2 linked regions of the Caenorhabditis elegans genome follow. The protein of the gene in region 1 purifies or fractionates together with the protein of each later gene. This does not show direct contact. Each region holds a gene or a part of one and is shown on either strand. Other genes may lie near its edges. The genes, in order: herc-1 and madf-3.

What was found.
Region 2: the proteins of herc-1 (region 1) and madf-3 fractionate together in Caenorhabditis elegans (co-fractionation; one large-scale study listed by BioGRID). This does not show direct contact.

Annotation. Positions count from the first base shown.
Region 1 is NC_003279.8:1,209,737-1,214,687, forward strand, and holds the start of herc-1 (HECT domain-containing protein), read left to right. Parts: upstream 1-1,748; 5' UTR 1,749-1,758; coding exon 1,759-1,852; intron 1,853-2,837; coding exon 2,838-3,037; intron 3,038-4,050; coding exon 4,051-4,243; intron 4,244-4,951. Other genes in the region: nsun-2 (tRNA (cytosine(34)-C(5))-methyltransferase), read left to right, coding at 1,126-1,269.
Region 2 is NC_003280.10:4,333,018-4,339,823, forward strand, and holds madf-3 (Alcohol dehydrogenase transcription factor myb/sant-like protein), read left to right. Parts: upstream 1-1,730; 5' UTR 1,731-1,794; intron 1,795-2,658; 5' UTR 2,659-2,689; coding exon 2,690-3,253; intron 3,254-4,055; coding exon 4,056-4,134; intron 4,135-4,696; coding exon 4,697-4,793; intron 4,794-5,208; coding exon 5,209-5,407; 3' UTR 5,408-6,021; downstream 6,022-6,806. Other genes in the region: H20J04.4 (RNA helicase), read left to right, coding at 425-718.

The sequences.
Region 1 (4,951 bases):
CCAGAAATTAAAATCTCCGGCAAATCAGCAAATTGCCAGAAATTAAAATCTCCGGCAAATCGGCAAGTTGCCAGAAATTAAAATTTCCGGCAAACCGAAAAATTGCCAGAAATTAAAATTTCCGGCAAATCAGCAAATTGCCAGATAGTAGAATTTCCGGCAAATCAGCAAACCGGCAAATTGCCAGAAATTAGAATTTCCGGCAAATCGGCAAGCCGGCAAATTGCCAGAAATTAGAATTTCCGGCAAATCAGCAAACCGGCAAATTGCCAGAAATTAGAATTTCCGGCAAATCAGCAAACCGGCAAATTGCCAGAAATTAGAATTTTCGGCAAATCGGCAAGCCGGCAAATTGCCAGAAATTAGAATTTTCGGCAAATCAACAAACTGACAAATTGCCAGAAATTAAAATCTCCGGCAAATCAGCAAATTGCCAGAAATTAGAATTTTCGGCAAATCAGCAAACCGGCAAATTGCCAGAAATTAGAATTTCCGGCAAATCAGCAAACTGACAAATTGCCAGAAATTAAAATCTCCGGCAAATCGGCAAATTGCCAGAAATTAGAATTTTCGGCAAATCAGCAAACCGGCAAATTGCCAGAAATTAGAATTTTCGGCAAATCGGCAAGCCGGCAAATTTCCAGAAATTAGAATTTTCGGCAAATCGGCAAGCCGGCAAATTTCCAGAAATTAGAATTTTCGGCAAATCAACAAACTGACAAATTGCCAGAAATTAAAATCTCCGGCAAATTGGCAAATTGCCAGAAATTAAAATTTCCGGCAAATCGGCAAACCGCCAGATTGCCAGAAATCAAATTTTCTGCAAATTGCCAGAATTTTAATTTTCCGGCAAATCGGCAAATTGCGAGAAATTAGAATTTCCGGCAAATCAGCAAACTGGCAAATTGCCAGAAATTAGAATTTTCGGCAAATCAGCAAACCGGCGAATTGCCAGAAATTAGAATTTCCGGAAAATTGTTATTTTTAGAAAAATAGGATAATTTGAAAATTGAAGAAAAAAAACTAATAAAAAAGTTTAACTAAATTTTTTTGGAAGTTTTCACAAATTGTTAGTAATTTCATGAGAAATAAGTTAAATTTTTGTCCAAAAAATCAATTTTTCAGGCCGCCCAAGACCGTGAAGCCGCGTGGGCTCGCAAGGAAGAAGCCGCAAAGGCTGCGGAGCCGTCCAGCAGCTCAACTGATGCTCCAGAATCTGCTGAAACTCTGGAAATTCCAGAAGAAAATGTTCAAGAAATGACTGAATAATTTGTTTTTTTTTTGTTATCTCTTTTTTCTCCTTTAATTTATCTCCATTTATCCCCTACACAGTTATAAATTCTGCTACGTGGCCGTGTGGAAAAAACTCGGCCACCGATTTTTTTTTGTTCCCTCACGTGGTGCCAAAGTGTTTCATTTCTGTTTGATCTACAAAAAATGCGGGAATTTTTCCCCAAAAAACTGTGACGTCAGCACGTTTTTAATCGTGCAAAATCAGTTGAGAACTCTGCGTCTCAACTCCCGCATTTTTTGTAGATCTAGGTAGATCAAACCGAAATGAGACATTCTGTCACAACGTGTTCCCTTTATTGTTGTTGCAGTTGTTATTTGATTTTTTTTTTTGAAAAAATTTGAATTTTTTTTTCAGATTTTTTCCTCTGATACTGCTTCAAAAACTAAAGTTGTTGAGATCACACTATGATATTTTCTAGATTGTTTTTTTAAAATTTAATTGTTAAAAAAATCAGATTTCAGAAAATGCGAGCTGAGCTGCTCGGATGTGGACACACGGGCGAGGGACAGCTCGGCGTTCGGCTCTCCGAGTCGACGATTCAAGTTCCCGAGAGAATTAGTACGGAGCTATTTTTGTTGCAGAAATTAGAAAACAGAAAAAAAAATTAATTCCGAAATTAAATTTTAAAAATTAAAAAATTTCGGATGAAAAAAAAACAATTGGAAGATTTTTGTAAATCTTTCACAAAACTTTAAAAAAAACTTTTTTAAAGAAATAATGGCAAACCGACATTTTGCCGGAAATGGAAGATTCCGGCAAACCGGCAAAAAGCCAGAAATTAAAATTTTCTGCATATCGACAATTTGCCTAAAATGAAAATTTCCGGCAAATCGGCAATATGCCTAAAATGAAAATTTCCGGCAAATCGGCAATTTGCCTAAAATGAAAGGTTCCGGAAATCGGCAATTTTCCTAAAATGAAAGGTTCCGGCAAATCGGCAATTTTCCTAAAATGAAAGATTCCGGCAAATCGGCAAGTTGTCAAAAATGATAGATTCCGGCAAATCGGCAAAAAGCCAGAAATTAAAATTTTCTGCAAATCCACAATTTGCCTAAAATTAAAATTTCCGGAAATCGGCAATTTGCCGAAAATGAGAGATTCCGGCAAATCGGCAATTTGTCAAAAATGATAGATTCCGGCAAATCGGCAAAAAGCCAGAAATTAAAATTTCCGGCAAATCGGCAATTTGCCGAAAATGATAGATTCCGGCAAACCGGCAAAAAGCCAGAACTTAAAATTTCCGGAAATCGGCAATTTGCCGAAAATGAGAGATTCCGGCAAATCGGCAATTTTTCAAAAATGATAGATTCCGGCAAATCGGCAAAAAGCCAGAAATTAAAATTTCCGGCAAATCGGCAATTTGCCTAAAATGAAAATTTCCAGCAAATCGGCAATTTGCCTAACGAAAAAAAATTGATTACTTTGGAGCAAAATTGTATGCATCTTTAAAAAACTCTTTTTTTTTGAATATTTGTTTAAAAACTGTGTGAAAATAGTTTAAAATCGTCTCGGAATTTTCTCTGAAAATTGTTCAAAATTTCAGTTGGCGCTCCAAATGATATGGATGGAACCGCAGTGACGTCAGTCACGTGTGGTGAACAACATACAGTATTCCTGACAAAAGATGGCAAAATGTGGAGTGTTGGTAGTAATATGGATGGACAATTGGGACGAGGCAGTCGGACTGAGGGTTCTTTTTCGATTTATCCGGTTTCTTGGACAAGCAGTGCGAAAATTATTCAGGTAACTTTGAGTTTTTTTTTTGGCGAAAATCCATTAGAAAATGATTTTACCATATTTTTTCGCTAAATAACATTTGAAAAATAAAAAATTTTTCGTTTTTCCCTAGTTTTTGGCGAGAAAATCCCGTAGATCTCATTTTTGTAAACTCTTTTTCCGTGGAATCCCCTTTTCTTAGATTTCCATCTCGCAGATCCTCTTCCCATAGTTCCCATTTGCGTAAATTCTCTTCTCGTAGATCCCCGTTTCGTAGATCTCCGTCTTGTTGATCCCCTTCTCGTAGAATAGCAAATTTCTAGATCCTCTTCTCCCAGATACTCTTTTGGTAGATTCACTTCTCGTAAATCTCCTTCTCATAGAATTAATTTTGGTTCCCGTTTCGTAGATCTCTGTTTCGTGCAAGCTCCCTTCTCGAAGATTCCTTTGCCGTAGATCTTCTTTTCGTAGATCACCCTTCTCGCAGCTCTCTTTTTTGTAAATTCTCTTTTCATAGATCTGCCTTCCATAGACTTCCCTTCTCGGAGATCTCCTTTACGCAGAACGACGTTTTGTAGATCCTTTTCCATAGATTCTCCTCTCGTAGAATGGCTAATTCCTAGATCCTCTTCTCCCAGATCCCTTTTTTTGTAGATTCTCTTCTCGTAGATCTCCGTTTCGTAGATGCTCTTTTTTGTACATATATTTTCCATAGATCCCTTTTTGCCTTTAATGTAGATTTTTTCCATAATTACCCTCTCCGTAGATCTCCTTCTCGTAGATCCCATTTCCGTAGAATTCCCCCTTTCGTAGATCCCATTTTCAAAGATAGCCTTTCCGTATAATCTCCCTTTCGTAGATTCGATTTTCGAAAATAATAATCTCGCAGATCCCCTTCTCATAGATCCCCATCTGGTTGATCACCTTCTCGTAGATGCTTTTTTCATAAATTCCCTTACTTCAGATCCATTTTCCGTGGATCTCCTTTTCGCAGAGCCAATTTCCATAGATCGCCTTCTCGTAGAAATTCCATTTTTCAGATCTCTGCTGGCCGTTCTCACACAGTCTCCGTAACCGACGATGGGCGTGTCTTCGCTTGGGGCTCCAATGAGCACGGACAACTCGGAATGGAGAGTAAATTCACGTGGCAGGGAACACCACGACGTGTTCAAGAGATTAATGATATTGTACAAGTGGCGTCTGGATCCAATCATTGTATTGCGTTGGATGAAGGTAGAAATTTGGAAATTTGTGAAAAAATTCAAATTTTTGCTGGAAAAGTCCAAAAAGTATCTCAAAAACCTGAAAAATTGAAAAATTTAGTAAGGGGATATGGTCGGGGTACTGTAGTAGTACTGTAGGGGTACTGTAGGAGTACGGTAGGATTACTGTAGTTTAGGGAAATTTGACTTTTTCTCTTTTGAATGGATATTGGTTTGGGGTTAGTGGGGGGGATATGGTCGGGGTACTGTAGTAGTACTGTAGGGGTACTGTAGGAGTACTGTAGTAGTACTGTAGGATTACTGTAGTTTAGGAAAAATAAACTTTTCGTCTTTTGAAGGAATATTTGTTTTCGAATAATTTGCAAAAACGGAAAGCTGGATTTTTTTGAAAATAAAAAATAAAAATGTAATCCCGCTTCAACGCCAAAAGAAAAGTTGGGTCTCGTTAGGAATTGGCGGCGAAATTTTTTGCTAATTTTTGCTAATTTTGAAGCATTTTTTGTTGCTTTTAATAATTTTTGTACCAACGACGACCAAAAAATCATGGAAATCCAGAGAAAAACCGATCAATTCTGAATTGAAATTTGAATTGCCGCGCTCATTTTTCAAATTTTCCACGCTTATGAAAATGGTTTGAATCAGGGGAAAAATTCAATTTCAGCTACTACTTTTCTTGATTTTAGCGAATTTTTCTCGCTTTTATTTATATATTTTCATA
Region 2 (6,806 bases), on another chromosome or scaffold:
CTAAATTTGAAGCTATATTTTTTTTTCGGAAAATCTAGAAAAAAAGCGAAAAAAAAACAAAAATTGCACTTCTTTTGTAATTTTCCAGTGCCATATTTTGGATAAAAAAGGAAAATTTTTAATTTTTTTTTCGAAAAAAGCGAGTTTTTCTGCTAAAAACACGAAAAAGGCGGAAGAAACATTTTTTTTCAAAAAATTTGAATTTCCCGCCAAAATATTGAATTTCCAAACTCCTTCCACTTTCAATGACGCCAAAAAAAAATATTTTCCTCTCATTTTTCACTCTCTAGTTGACTGCGTTTCTCTCTATATTGACGCAAATAATTTTTTTTTCATCATTTTTTCCCCCGTCTCTTTTCATTTCTCTACACAAAAAATCTACTTTTTAATCAATAAATTCCCTTAATTTTCGCATTTTTTTCAGGTCAGCCCAAAACATGTCACCAAATACGTCACCCAAGTGCTTGTGGCGAAGAAAGAAGCCGAGTTGAAGCTGGAAAATCAGAAATTCGGAGAGAAAAAGGAGATTAATCGAAGAAAAGAGCTTCTGATGAGTGGAATGGATGAAGATGAAGCTGATAGGCATTTGGAGGAAATGAGGACTCGAAGAATGACAAATTCCAAGAGAAAGCTGGAGAAAATTAGTGGACAATTGGATAAAAGAGATCGATTTCAGAAGAAATTGGCGGCGAAAAAAGTGAAAAAGGAAGAAAATTGAATTCATTTTAAATATTGTAATTTTTGTTCAGCTTGTGTCGATTTACGCGGCTCGTGTACTCCTCGTGGAGAAGTGCAAAATTTTTACAGTTTTTGCTCAAAATTACAGAAAACTGTTAACAAAATGCAAATTTTTGAACAATTAAAACAATTAAAAGTGGCCAAAAATTACCAAAAATTGCAAATCTCCACTTTTTCAAATTAAAATTACGGTATATTTTTGGCATTTAAAGTTGTGTTTGCGGCAAACGATTTTTTTCCGGCAAATCGGCAAATTTGCCGGAATTGAAAATTTGCGGTAAATCGGCAAACCTGCAACTTGCCGAAAAAACGGAAATTGCCATAGATTTTCGGCAAATTGCGATTTTTTACCTTTTTTTTTTTTGATATTTCAGAATTTAAATTTTAATCGGCAAAACTGTACGCATCCTATGACTATTCCTACATCTAATTTGAAAATTGGCAAATTCTATGAAAATATCTAGAAAACCGACAAAAAAATTTCAAAAAAGCACAGTTTCAAGTTTTTCCGTCTCGTAAAAATTCTTCCAAAAAATTCCTGCAAATTTATGTTCGGTAAATCGGCAGGTCGACAATTCGCCGATTTGCCGATTTTGTCGACAAAGAAATTTGCCGAACAGCAACTGTTAACAAAATGCAAATTTTTAATTTAAAATTAAAATTTTTAAGTTGCCAAAAATCACCAAAAATTGAAAATCTCATTTTTTTTCTGGGATTTAAAGCAAAAAATCATTTTTTTTTAGTGTTAAATTCAAAATTCTAGTACTTTACTTCTCCTCGTGGAGTACACGAGCTTGCGATTTCTGTTGTTTTAGATTTAAATTGTTACTTTTTTTGTTTTGTTTTGTTTTTTTGTTGTTGATTTCTTTTGAAAAAAAATCAATATTTTCTATCACATCTATTTTCTTTTTATTCCCCATAATGGTTTCCTTAAAACCTTCCTCATAATATCTCTAAAAGCCGTCTCAAAAAGCGATTGCTCTAACACTTTCAGCTAATCATGATCTCCAGTGAGCACAACTATCAGCATTTATATCACGAAGAACAATACGATATGTGAGTTTAAAATGATATTTGGATAAATTTAGAAAAATCGAATTTTTGAAAAAAAAAATCAGATTTTTCTCAAAAAAGATCCAATTTATTTTCCGATAAATTGGCGAAAAATCAACAATTTTTTATATATGAAAAAAGAAAATTTTTCTAATTGTAAGTACTTACGAAGTGCTAAAAATAATTTAATCTACTAAATAAAAAAATTAAAAAAAAACTTTTGTTGTCAAAATTTTTTTTTTTCAACAAACAATTTTTTATTTTAAAAAGGTAAAAAATCAGTTTTTGCAAACACTTTTTTTCGAAAAAAAAAAACGTTTTTTACTTTAAAAAAAAGATGTTTCTAAAAACCTTCGAAAAATACCAGATTTTTCGAAAAAATTGCAATTTTTTTAATACGAAAATTTAAAAAAGTTAATTTTCGAAACAAGTCCATTTTTTAATTATATATTCTATCAAAAAAAATTGAATTAAAAAAAAACTTGATCTTCCATTAAAAACACATTTTTTTTCGATAAAAATCTTTAAAAATCTTAAGGTGTTTTTTCTTGAGAAAAAATACTCGATTTTCTTTTTAAAAAAAACTGCGCTTTTTTTGTAAAAAATTTAAAAAAAAATTAATTTCCGACAGAAAAACTATTTTTTAAAATTATATATTCGATAAAAATTCAAAAAATCGCGTTTTCCTTTAAGAACATATTTTTGGATAAAGTTTGATGTTATCAGTTTTTTTTTTCAAATTAGAAAAATCAAAAATTCACTCAAAAAAATCCCAAAAAGCATTTTTCCGAAAAAAAAGTTCGCTTAAAAAAATCAGAAAATTATCTGATTTTTCTAAAAAAAATCATAAATAACCTTTTTTTGCAGGAACTACACAGCGACCCGCTTCGGCGAGGAAATGATCGAACCGACATTCAACCTACGTCTCATCGAAGCCGTCCGTCATAGTCGATGCCTTTTCGACAATACAGACCGACAATACCGTAATACAGAATACAAAAATCGAGTTTGGCAGCGTCTGGTTACTGTACTCGGTTTTGATGGTGATCCGAGAATGTTATCTGCGAGATGGAAGCAATTAAGAGATAAATATGGAAAAGAGAAGAGAAAACAAAAATATGGAAATGAGAAATCATCATGGCAATATTTCAAACATCTTCATTTTCTAGATCCACATATGACAGATCGAGCAGAAATATCACCATCTCGAAAAGAGCCAACTGGAGTTCATGAAAAGATTGCTGAGCCATGTTTTGGAAAAAATCTAATTCTTGAAGTGAGAAGGCATCCGTGTCTTTATGATGTTCGTGATCCAAAATATCGTCATGGAGACTGTCGTACTCAAGCATGGGGAATGATTATTGATAAACTACGATATCCTGGAACAGTTCCGTCGATTTATAAACAATGGAAGAAGCATCGAGATCGATATGTTAGGGAGAAGAGGAGGCTGAGGAATTTGGTAGGCATTTGGAGGCCTCATGAAAAGGAGAACTTATGGAAAATGGGATCTGGCAGGCGGCAGTTGCCGGTTTACCTATTTGCCGGAAATTTTGATTCCCGGCAAAGTGACGATTTGCCGGAAATTCTAATTTTAGGCAATTTGCCGGTTTTCCGGAAATTTTGATTTTTGGCAAATTGCCTATTTGCCGGAAGTTTTCATTTTGGGCATTTTGCCGATATGCCGGAATTTTTAATTTTAGGCAATTTGGCGATTTGCCCGAAATTTTGATTTTTGGAAAATTGCCTATTTGCCGGAAATTTTGATTTTTGGCAAGTTGCCGATTTGGCGATTTGCCGGAAATTTTGATAAACGGCAAATTTGGCGATTTGCCGGAAATTTTGATAAACGGCAAATTTGGCGATTTGCCGGAAATTTTGATATTCGGCAAATTTCCGGTTTGGCGATTTGCCGGAAATTCTAATTTTAGGCAATTTGGCGATTTGCCGGAATATTTTTATTTTCGGGATATTGCCTATTTGGCGATTTGCCGGAAGTTTTAATTTCGGGCAATTTGCTGATTTGCCGGTTTGCCGGAAATTTCGATTTTCGACAAATTCGGCAAGTTGGAAATTTGCCGGAATTGCCGGAAAAAATCGTTTGCCCCTCCCTGCCTGGCACTGCCAACGCACAAAACTCAATTTTTCTTTGAGAAAAAATTGGCACAGTGCCAGAATCCCCTTTCTCAACAGTATCCCGTTTTCGTGGAGCCTCTATTTTTGTTTTAAACAGAAATTTTACAAATTTTTCTTAGCAACTTCAGGGTGATCCGAATGTTCAAGATGTGTCAACTTGGGAGATGTATGATGATATGGCTTGGATAGATCAGCATTTGGATGAACGTACGAGCTTTTTTTCCTGGAAAATTAAAACAAAAAACCTTTAAATCAAACTGATCCTGAATGCCGAAATACCATAAAAGGCCCCCGAAAAAAAAAATCAAAAATCATTAAGTTTGAAAAAAAATCGGTTGATTTTGGTTAATTTTCAATTCTGACTAATCTCCTAATCATTTAAATTGCCGCGCCTTTTTCAGCGCCGCACTCCGTAGATCTGTATCTGCGCGACGTTAATTCTAGTTTTTCCCGTTTTTTCCTCGCAAGTGAAGACAATAGTGCGGATGCAGATCTACGGACAATAGTGTGGATGCAGAGAGATTCAGGATCAGTTTGCGCATTTTGAAGTAAAATCCCTCATTTACTCCTACTCCTCCAGCTTTAAAATCGTTTTTTTTCCTCAATATAAATACGAAAAAAGAGTTTAGTTTTAGAACTCTTGTTTTGACATGTAAAAAATTTCGCACCGCCATATGTGAAATTACGAATTACGCAGTTCCATGTATTATTTTACGTGGCTCCTAAAATCGCCGGAATAAATACTTTAAAAAAAACTAAAATTTTGCAGAGCAACTATCTCGATGTGCTCGAAGTCTGAAACGAGGGGGAAACAATGACGGAGGAAATCAGGATGAAATGTCAGATTATGGAGATTACGATGATGAGTGAGTGAGCTAAAATGAGCAAAAAGTTGATGAAAAAAAAAGAGGAAATTTGACTCTAAAATTGATCAACTTCTAACCAATCAGCGCTCGGCCCCTTCTCTTTTTTGAACCAATCAGCGACGACCTGTGCCGCTGATTGGTTCGGAATTGCGCGGAGTCGGGCGCTGATTGGTCGGAAGCAAATAGTGGCGGTTTTAAGACAATTTTCGGTGATTTCTATTAGATTCTCTAGAAAAATTGAAAAATTTTCAAAAAAAAAAATTCAAAGATTTAGAAAAATGAAATTTTAAAAATTTGGAATTTGCGAAAACTTGATGATTTGGTGCAATTTTTTCCGACAAGTAATCACAGATAATTCCAAAATAATAATTTTATTTTGCCAAAAAAAAAATCAATAAACCCCTGAAATTTCCAGCATAAACTACGTGATGATGGCTGAAAAGCGACCAAACAACGGTGATGTACTTCTCGACGGAGATTCTGCATTCTCTGCATCAATTGTATCGGATCTAAGGACACTTGGAGAAGAAGCACGAATAATTGCAAAGCAGCAGATTATGATACTTTTGGAATCCGCTAAACCTCCGTCTACACCTGCTCCTAATTATTTGTGATTTTTATTGAATTTTCTAGCCGAAATTTTCAATTTTTTGTCCACTTTTTATTACCCAACCTCGAAATTTCTTCGATTTTACCCCAAGCCGGGTCTCGCCACGACCCAAATTGATAAGTTGAAAACTTTTTTTTTGATAAGTTGAAAATTGAAAAAAGTGTGCGCCTTTAAAGAGTACTGTGTTTAACTGTGAATTTTTGTCGAGTTTTTCTCACAATTTGTGAAAATTTATTGTCTTTTTTATCGAAAAACTATGAAAAATTGATGAAAATTCACGAATTTTTGAAGTTACAGTACTCTTTAAAGGCGCACACCTTTACACACGCACTTAACAAAAATTGTCGCTTCGAGACCCCAGGTACTGTAGTCTTGGCGCATTTATTTCCAATTTTTTTGATCTTTATCCCATCAACTGGTCTCATCATATTTTCATATTTGTACAATATTTCTGTATCTGTATTTTTTTTTGTAATTTTTGTGGGCAGTTTCTTAATTTCCATCGCCGTCTTTCCTATCTCAGGTCCTTTTATTTCATGAATAATTGATTTTTATCCTAGAAAATTTGGATTTTTTGTTGTAAATTTACCTCTTTTAAGGTGTTCAAAACCTACTTTTTATCTGTGTTTTTTGAAAAATTTTGAAAAATTTTTTGCGGATGGGTCTCACCGCGAAGTCTGAAAGTTACACTGCAACTTTTTCCTCGCGAGGGACGAGGAAAAGTGGTTTCTAGGCCATGGCCGAGGGGCCGACAAGTTTCAGCGGCCATTTATCTTGCTTTGTTTTCCGCCTGTTTTCTTTCGTTTTTCATCGATTTTTTTCGTTTTTTCTTAATAAAACTGATAAATAAATATTTTTTGCAGATGCTAAAACAATTTCCAATTTCCAAGTGAAAAAATCATGCATTCAGTGGGCAAGCAGCGGTGAAAGTGGTCAATGTAATATGATGGATTACGGGAATACAAAACCTAAACTTTTTCTGAAACATGATACATATGATGCTTAGATGCTGAAATTACCTGATTTTCATAACGAGACCGCTGAAAAAGTTTTGAGGTTTTCAAAATTCAATTTTTTTGTGCGAAAATCTCGACTTTTTCACCAAAAAAGTTGAATTTTGGAAACCTCAAAACTTTCTTAGCGGTCTCGTTATGAAAATCAGGTAGTCTCAGCATTTAAGCAGCATATGTATCATGTTTCAGAAAAAGTTTAGGTTTTGTATTCCCGTAATCCATCATTTTACATTGACCACTTTCACCGCTGCTTGCCCACTGAATACATGATTTTTTTTACTTGGAAATTGTTTTAGCATTTGCAAAAAATATTTATTTATCAGTTTTATTAAGAGAAAACGAAAAAAATCGATGAAAAACGAAAGAAAACAGGCGGAAAACAGAGCAAGA